2 linked regions of the Rattus norvegicus genome follow. The protein of the gene in region 2 interacts with the protein of the main gene of each other region in a biochemical or structural test. Links are inferred from orthologs where the notes say so. Each region holds a gene or a part of one and is shown on either strand. Other genes may lie near its edges.

Evidence for each region.
Region 1: the proteins of Nherf2 (region 2) and Abcc4 form a complex in vitro, tested with the Homo sapiens proteins (2 studies listed by BioGRID and IntAct, with this or other methods). The link is inferred for Rattus norvegicus from reciprocal best matches to the Homo sapiens genes NHERF2 and ABCC4.

What each region holds. Positions count from the first base shown.
Region 1 is NC_086033.1:102,179,755-102,184,435, reverse strand, and holds the start of Abcc4 (ATP-binding cassette subfamily C member 4), read left to right. Parts: upstream 1-1,523; 5' UTR 1,524-3,071; coding exon 3,072-3,145; intron 3,146-4,681. UniProt on the Homo sapiens protein: ATP-dependent transporter of the ATP-binding cassette (ABC) family that actively extrudes physiological compounds and xenobiotics from cells.
Region 2 is NC_086028.1:14,174,559-14,179,177, reverse strand, and holds the start of Nherf2 (Na(+)/H(+) exchange regulatory cofactor NHE-RF2), read left to right. Parts: upstream 1-1,658; 5' UTR 1,659-1,733; coding exon 1,734-1,946; intron 1,947-4,186; coding exon 4,187-4,387; intron 4,388-4,619.

The DNA.
Region 1 (4,681 bases), on a different chromosome or scaffold from region 2:
TAAGGAAGAGTGCGTACCCTGTTCCCACAAGCCCTCTCTCTTTACTGAGACAACGGCTCTCAGTATTCCTTCTAAATGCCACGTTGGTTAGTGTTCAGAAAAGAATGCTAAGACGTTTCGAAGTAGCTCAGATCAACAAAACTAAAAGCCAGCACACTGCTCAGTAGAAGCTGAAGGGAAGGTTTGACGGTTTGGAGCCTGCTAATGGGATCTGCAGTCCCAACACAGTCCCCTATCGCAGGGGATGGGGCAGACACAAGGCAAGTCACTAGACTGCTAACTTCCCAAACTGAATTTCAGGCTTTGAAGTAGAACCGGCAGATGATTAAACGCCTGGGCTAGAAAATGCAGGGCATTTTAAAGAGCACCAGGAACTAGGTAAGGCCTGTTGATTTTGACGTATGAGAAACCATGGAGGGCGAGGGTGCATGGATGGGAGCTCTGCGTTCCTGTGGAAATGCTTCCCTTTCTGCAACAGGATGTTTGAAACACATGCCACGGAATGCCATGCAATAAACGTCATTCAGCTCAAAACCATCAACACCTTGCTACTCTGTGTACCTGAGTTTTAACCAATTAATTAAACAATTAACTAATTTTCAGAAACAGATAAGTCGTTTGGGTTGGTCCTGAAGTCCTTAACTCAAGATATTCTTCCGCTGCCTCAGCCTCCTGAGGAGCTCAGACTTTACATCTATTATATATTTTTATATGCTTTTTATGTAAATACATATAATTCGGGTGTGTGTGTGTGTGTGTGTGTGTGTGTGTGTGTTTGCGTGCGCGCGCGCGTGTGCATGTGCTATCTACTCTCTATGTTTTGTTTGGAGCAGGGTCTCTAACTGCACTGGAAGTTGTGAATTAGGGTAAGCTGGAGGACCAGCGTCCTCAGGGATCCTTGCCTTCCATCCCAAGCTGGGAATGTGGGCCACCATGCCTGTTTTTTTGATAGTGGGAGGAATTTGGGCCACTGTGCTTATAAGGCAAGCAGTTTACCTACTGGGATATTCTCTGGGCTCCAAAACTCATTTATAACATGTCGGTACATGGCTGTGATCCCAGCACCTGGGAGGTAGATGTTGGGAGATCAGGGGATCCAGGTCATCCTTGGTTATTTACGGAGTTAAGAGGCTAACCTGGGATACATGAGACCCTGTCTCAATTCTTCTCTCTAAAAACAGCTTCTTTACATATCCAGTTAGACCTAGAACTCCCTAGGTGTCCCATCGATCTTGAACTTCATACCTTCCTGCCTAGCGTGCTGCTGCCTGGCTAATTCCTTTTAGCTGTATTTATTTTTGCTCTCTGACCTCTCATGTATGTCTGTCTGGCTAGGAAATCCCTAGCCATCAAAGATGGGCTAGAGTTGTTGTTTCTCCTGTCTCCACTTCCAAATTGATGGAATTAAATCTGTGGGCACCACACATGACTTGACTTCTAAACAAATGCTTATTTGCACCAAGACTCTGTACAGAGTATTGTTATACCTTTAAATAAACACAGGAGGAATGACCAAAGAAAGCTGACTTAGTTAATTTTATTTTTGTTTTTTTTTTTTTGGCAACCAGACACAACCTAGAGTCACCAGAAAATCGGGAACTTTAACTAAAGAGCTTCCCAGATGGGCTTGACCTATGGCCTTTGTGAGAGAGTGTCCCATTGGAGATGGTGTGAGGACATCTGGAGTCAGCACTACCAGTTCAACAGAACAGGGTTGTGGCTTCAGCTCCTGGCCTGACTTCTCTCCAGGAGAGACTGTTGCAGTGGAAGTGTAAGCCTGACAGAAACCCTTTCTTCCCCGAGCTACTTCTGGTCAGAGTATTTTCTCACATCAAAAGGACGGGTAAAACTGTCCCTACCACCGTGAATTCTAAAGGGCTCTTCTTTCCTTACCCAGTGCTGAAGTGAACCGAACGGGCAGAGAGGCAGGCAGTTAACACAGAAACCAAGGCTTGTGAGCAGGAGTCCAAAAGCCAGGACCGTATCTTCCTCAGTGCAGCCTGGCACCTCTCATGCTCACTTGACCATCCCTAAAGCAGTTCAAGGTCACATGCCAACTTGAGTACAAATCAGATTTCATCATCACTAACCTTATGCTCTCGGACGAGCTGGATCTCTTGAGTCTGAATTTACTCAGTAAAATAGCAAAACCATCTCGAAAAGTAAATTAAAAGTGGAGTAGGTCTACAGAACGGCACACGGAGGGGTCCTGTAATATCGGTTCCTCTCGCCACTGATCCTCTGCGAGCCTCTCAGGGCTCGGTGAAAGAAACAGGCCAGGCGGTGTATTATCTGATTTCCCTTACCCAATCTAAGAGGACAGCCAACTGCTTACACAGGTCCGCCATGCCAAGCAATGTAGGAAAGAAAGGTCAAGAAGCCGCCCGAAATGGCAGCATTCGTTCATCTCCCCAAACCCTAGCGTCCTAATATCAGGTGGCCTGACTGTCTTCACGGCTTTCAGGTCGGGAAAGGCAAACAGATAAACCTTGCTGTTGTTCCAGGTCAGACTCTTGGCCTGCAAGTGGGGGAATCTCCTACAGCACCCCATTTGGTCCTGATGAGGGCAGCATGCCAGGGGAGGGCAGGCAAAGCTAGGCGGCTTTCTCCAGATCTCCAGGAGCGCAGAGCCCAGGGGGCGTTTCCGAGCGCGGGGGCGGGCACAGCACGCACCGCCCCCGCCACCTTCAGGGTGGTGCTTAGGCGCTGATCTTAAACTCCTGCAAAGTTTGCAACGGGTCCCAAGCACGTGCAGCTTCCCCGCCCGGCTCCGTGTTCCCCGAGCAGCCGCCCGGCACCTGCGCGCGGTCTCCGCCTTTCCCCAGCCTCCTTTCTCCTGCGCTCTCACGCGACAAGCCGCTCCCGGGCTCTAGGAGGCGGCGGCGACAGCGCGTAGCGGGCGCCCCGAGGAACCCCGGGAGGCGGGGTCTGGGCGGGCTGGCGCTGGGTTCCCGGAAGCCGCTGCCTGCCTCCGAGGCTCCCGCCGAGCGGACCGGCGCGGCGGCCGGAGCTCCAACATCCTCACCCGCGCCTCCTGGAGCCGCCTCCCGGCCGCACGCACCGCGGGCGAGATGCTGCCGGTGCACACCGAGGTGAAACCCAACCCGCTGCAGGACGCCAACCTCTGCTCGCGCTTGTTCTTCTGGTGAGTGCCCTGCCTGGGCCCGTTCCGCCGTCCACGAGACGCCCCGCGCCGGCTCAGCCGCGTGTCCGTGGTCCGCGCTGGTCCCGGACGGTCAGAGGATGCTTTCCCTACACCGCCACACATCCCGGGCTCCTTGCCGCGCGTGCGCCGCGCCGCCTGCGGTCCCCGCCCGCACCCCACGCTCGCGCTGCTCCCCGCCGGGAGGGGCACGCGGGGACCGATGGCAGACACAGGTGGCGTCCACCCGAAAGCGTGGGGATCCGTGGGAGGTGCGAGGGTGCCCGGGAAGGGTGAACCCGGCATGCTCACCTTCGCTAGTTTTCCATCTCGGTTCAGGGCTTGCACAACTCCCTTGCCCAAACTGCACCTCTTTATTTTTCTTTAAGCAGCTGTTAACAGCTGGCTTTGTCTAATCGCAGCTGAAGCTAGAGTCCTGGACCAACACCAAACGCTAGTGTCCCCATCGCCTTCCGAAACACCTTACCAGACATCTTTCAGGTTCATCGATTGCGTGTGAGTGAGTGTGTGTGTGTGTGTGTGTGTAAGGAAGGAAGTTTAATAGCTTCCCGGACCCTGCCTCTCTTTTTGACCCCTCTGTGTGTGTCCTAGTATCTTACTATGGCTGTGGGTTAAAAGATCACTTTATTACGATGTCTTATTTAGTTATGATGGGACACTACCCTTGAGCAAGATCTGCATGACGTTTCCCTCTTGACTGAAGGAGGGTAGAGGAATATGCTTTTCCTTGTTAGATGGACTTTTTTTCCCTTCTGCCTTTGATGACCATATCACTCTTGGGGATGAGTTTCTGAAGCCTGTGGTGGTGGTGGGGGTCTTATCAAGATCCGTAGTCCTCAGAGACAGGATCCATGTTCTCGATGCCTAAAACCACTGAGTGGGTTCCCAGATCTGATCTGGCCCCAGCCCCGCCCCTCTCGTTGTAGGAAACAGGTGAAGAGGCTTAGATAAACGACATTCCTAAGTAGTTTTCCACCTAGTAACCTGGGCTGGCTAGGGCACGCTTGGCTAACTAGAATAGTTTTTATTTCTTGACCTCTGCCATGTTGTCTTTCTCACGTTCTAATGTTCCCCTTTTAAAATGAGAAAGCCTAGGGAGTTTCGGAGTCATTTACTGTTGTTCCAATTGCCGATACAGTGTGTGCAGGATCCTTTTGGACACTCGGTAAAGAGGAGCATAATAAGGGATGTGTGGGAAATTAATAATAATAATAATAATAATAATAATAATATAATAATACTCAAAGCAGGCGGACTGTCTCAGTCTCCTGGGCTTTTGGCAACACACAGAACTCCTGATGACTTTCCCGTGAGTGGACTTTCAAAATGTAGGTGAAGAGAACTGGGTGTGGGCAGAGCATACCTACAGTTCAGTTTCTTGGAAGGCTAAGACAGGATGATGCTTGAGGAGCCCGTGGAGCTGAGACCAGCTAGGACAGTGTATCGGACACAATCTTTTGTTGTTTGCTCGCCCTGTGGCTGAAGGCTTGAAGTTCTAGAATGCACAGCAATCTTCCT
Region 2 (4,619 bases):
GAGTTCCCCTACCTTTCTCAACTCCCGGCCTGGGCCTGGAGTTACCATCCTCTTTAGTGTGACCACAAAGGTGATGGGGGGAATGTTCTTGGTTATTGTGGGGGTAACTTCCAAGTTCCACACGAGTGGGATATCCAGGGAGCACACAGTTTATACATATTAACAATCTCCACGGGCAACCAGCATTAGACCTGACCCAGAGAAACCGATCTTAAGACAGACAGGCAAATTCTGGATAGGCAAGCAGACAGATAGATGGAAGTGGCCAGCCAGGCCAGAGCCTGTGGCAGCATCAGTTAGAATCTGCAGAGAAGGCTGGGGGCAGGGAGCAACAATGTATCTACAGCTTAAGTGCCTTTCAGGAGCAGCCACTAGGGTGTGGGTACCCAAGAGGCTAAGGCTAGGATGCTGCTGAGAGGCGGGTCCTAGTGCTTGGGTGGAGGTGGAAAGCCCCAGTTAAGGGCTCTGGAGAGAGGGGAGGGAGAGGAGAACATTGAGCTAGGGGCGCATCTCCTATCCACATGGGGAACTGTCTGAGCTGGCTTTACCTGACTCAGGGGGACCAGGTAAGTGAGGAGCTGTGCACTGGGGAGAAGCAGGCTGCGGGTGAGATCTCAGCCTGGGAGGAAGCTTTAAGGTGAAAGTGCAGTCTCACAGTACTGGACTCTAGTAGAGGATTTTCTCCAGGCCTCAGTGTCCTGGTCTGTAAAATGGTCGGTTTTCTCTAGGGTTGTTCTTGGAAAACCATGTACGAATGCATAAGGGGTTCTCAGTGGGACTGTTGTCCTGTAAGGGGAGATGAGAACTTAAGCAATTGTAAATCTAAGAATGTGTTGACTACAGACCTAGGAACCGGGAATGGGAACCCTGTGGTGCTTAATTTGGGACAACAGATCACCACCTAGAGCTCAGGGGCCAAAGTCCTTAGCACAGTTCATACTGGGTCTAGAGGAAGGCAGCACATACCTCCCATCTCTGCCAGATAAACTCATGTTCCCAAAAAACAGGGGAATACGGAAGACAGACACTTGCTGGGTGGAACAGGGGCCACCTACTTGCTGGCCCCAAAGACCTTGGTTGCTGTAGTCTCTTTAAATTTCTTATTCTTGCCTGTTGCTCTCTGGGTCAGGATGAGACAACTTTGGGGACCTAGAGGGAGCAGGCAGCACAGTCCCGATAGGTAGAGGGTGGGGTGCATCCCAGGAAGGGGCGCAGTGGTCCTTGCACTTCCCCTCTGGCGTCTGTGTAGTGTGTCTCTGACTGGACCCTTTCTCTAAGAGGCTTCCCATTTCAGGAACCCCTCTCACTGTAGCATATGCAGGTGTCTAAAAAAAAAGTGGTTCCTGGAACAGAAGCCAAAGGTGCTGGCGCTAGGGAAGGTGACCAAATGGGATAAGATAGGACTCCCAGGAACTCGAGGGTTGCCTGACCGCGAAATCCCACTCCTTAGTCCTAGGGTTTCTGGGCGCCCAGGCAGGGGCCTAGCTAGCGGGGCTTAGGCTAGGGCGGGGGCAGCCAGGAGGGCGGGGAAGGGGCGGGCGCGGGGGCGGTGCTGCAGCAGGAGCAGGGGCCAGGGCCAGAGCCGAAGTCGGAGCCCGAGGCGACGCGAGCTGAGCAGGAGCCACCGAGGCCGCTGCCTGCTCTCCCGCCCGCGCCTCTGCCGCCTCCGCGCTCCAGCCTGCGGGTGGTGTGAGCCGTGGCCAGTCGCGGGCAGCCAGGGGGCAGCGGGTGCCATGGCCGCGCCGGAGTCGCTGCGGCCCCGCTTGTGTCGCCTGGTGCGGGGCGAGCAAGGGTACGGCTTCCACCTGCATGGCGAGAAAGGCCGCCGTGGCCAGTTCATCCGGCGCGTGGAGCCAGGCTCCCCAGCCGAGGCGGCCGCGCTGCGCGCCGGGGACCGCCTGGTTGAGGTCAACGGCGTCAACGTAGAGGGCGAGACGCATCACCAGGTGGGTCCCTGCGCTGCGCCCCGCCCCCCGGTTCCCTCCTAGGGGCGCATCCCTACTGCGCTGGCCAAGATGCCTTCGACCACCCTTCGGCGTGCCCTATCGTGGGACCGGTCAAGGGTCCCATGGGGGCCTGCTGTTCGGGTACTGAGGTGTGGGACGTGGCCCGCCAGCTGGCCTCCTGGTGAGGAAGCTCAGTCCTGCACAAGCGGGGGAGGGAGGACATCCTGGTAGGGAGGGGCCGCACTGCGGCTACTCTGGCCAGGGCCCTGGCTGCTTCTGCTAGTTTTGGCCTCCGTGTGCCATGGAGGGGGAGGAGGTGGTGAAGGCACCTTGTGGCCTTGTGGTATAGATGCATTTCTGTTCGTGTGTGAGTTATGTGTGTGTGCTTGCGGGTCTCCCTGGGGTCATCCATATGAATACACTACCCAAGTGTTCCAGGAGTGGCTGAGAGCATACTTGTGTCAGTGCTGGAATGTGTGCTTAGGTTTGTGTAGACACATCAGGTATGTGTGCTGACTCTGTGCGTGTGTGTGTGTGTGTGTGTGTGTGTGTGTGTGCGCGCGCCTGTGCGAGCTCACGAGTGCCTGCCTGCCTGGTTATACTAGTGTACTTCTCATGGCTGGTGTGTCTGGGTCTGGTGGAGTCAGCTCTAGTGGCAGCCTATTCCTTGGGCTCAGAAAAAGCCTCCTCCTGGGAGCTGCCTGGCCCTGTAGAGGTCACTGTGCAACCCTTGCCTGCTGGCAGCTGGAAGGAGGAGGGCTGATGTGGCGGAGTCTCTCTGCAGATCCTACCTCTGGGATGTCCGTATTCCACCGAGGGGTAGACACAGTTAAAACCTTGATTAGGGTTCAGTCTCCCTTCACCTTTTTTATTCTGGAACCCTAGTACCACTAAGTCCAAGACCTACGTGAGTGGTCAGTCCTGAGGCTTGGAGGAAGCAGAGTGGCTCTTTGCTGGGCTAAAGTTGAACTTCTATCTTCCCGGCGACCTGCCTTGTGACCACTGGATTTGGTTGTGTGCTGAAGAGTTTGGGAGTGAAGCCCAGTGGTTGGCCCTAAAAGCAAGGGAGAGGCTGGCAGAGTTGGTATTACCTGCGTCTAGCCGTCGCTGGAATGCAGCTGTCTAGTCTAGTCTCTAAAGACTTTCACATAGAGCCACAGTAGAATCCTTCTACTGCTCAGGGAGATAGGAGGCAAAACCAAGACTCCCATTCTACTGATATGTAGAGATTGTGGGTGACTGGCTTAGCTCCTTAGTGCTGGGATCCTTCTGCTCTCTTGGTCATCTTGGACGATCACTGAGGGGCCAGGTAAAGATGGGCCTGGCTGGGTAGGACCTTCATATCTGTGGTGGTATGTACTCCATGGAGTCACGCTGGAGATCCTGCCTCTTCACTCCCAGGCTGTGGGGTGGGGTTGTTAATGCTTCCTGCCCTTCAGATGTCCACTGGGCACTTTTCCCTTTGAACACATACTAACATCCTGCGTGATCCACGGTGGCCCACACTTCACAGGCACCCATCCAACCCATCCAGACAGATACGCAGATCTGTTCTGCTTCGGTACCTGCTGGAGATGAGTTCTGCTTACCTGACGTGTGTGAGCACCTTAGAATTCCTAGGTCTTCACCTCTAAGCAGGTCCAGCAGGGATGGGTTTCTGGTCCTGGTTGGAGGCAAATTGAAGTTGGGGTCAACAAAGACATTGCTCTCTCCTACACCTGGACCAAAACCCCAGACTTTAAAATAGACACACACACACACGTACAGAAAGCACACACATATATGCACACATACACACAAAGCATACACATATGCACATGCACACACACACACACACACACACACACACACACACACACACTCACGCACACACACAGTTAAGCACGTACCCATGCACAGACCAGACTGAAATCCTGAAGCTCAACTAAACAGATTCTGACTCTCCCATCTGGCTGTTCCTAGCAGCTCCTCCGGAGCCCACCTGCCGAGAACACAAGGCCACAAGAGAACCCTGAAGTACTTGCAGCCTGGGCCCTAGCTCCAGGGAGACGAGGGAGGGAGCTGCTGGAAACTGGGGGTGGGGGGTGGAGCCCGCAGGCCTCTCAGTCCAGCTACCCACCCCTGGCAGGCCAACCCCTGCCCTCTGTCCATGAGCCTGGGCCTAGCCGGGAGTGGTGCCCTATCCATGTGTTGCCCAGGGTGTTGCCTGCTGACCGGGTCCTGCTTCACACCCATTCCAGGTGGTCCAGAGGATCAAGGCTGTGGAGGGACAGACCCAGCTGCTTGTGGTGGACAAGGAGACAGATGAGGAACTCTGCCGGCGGCAACTGACCTGCACTGAGGAGATGGCCCATCGAGGGCTTCCGCCAGCCCACAACCCCTGGGAGCCAAAGCCGGACTGGGCATGCTCAGGCAGTCTTGGCTCGGACACAGGCCAGAAGGTATGGTGGGCTTTTGTCTGTGGGAACAATGAGTCTTTCCCAGAACCACCATCGCTGACTGCCTCTTGATAACAATCTTCCCTTTGGTCACTCCTATAAGCCTCCGTTTCCTCTTAGGGCTCTTTCCCTACTGCAGTAGCCACTCTGTGCCATTGGTGACCACCTGAAGCAACTCTTTTGGCCTTTGTTCCCTCTGCTGGAGGTCCCAGTGGCTGAGGAGTTACTGTGGCTC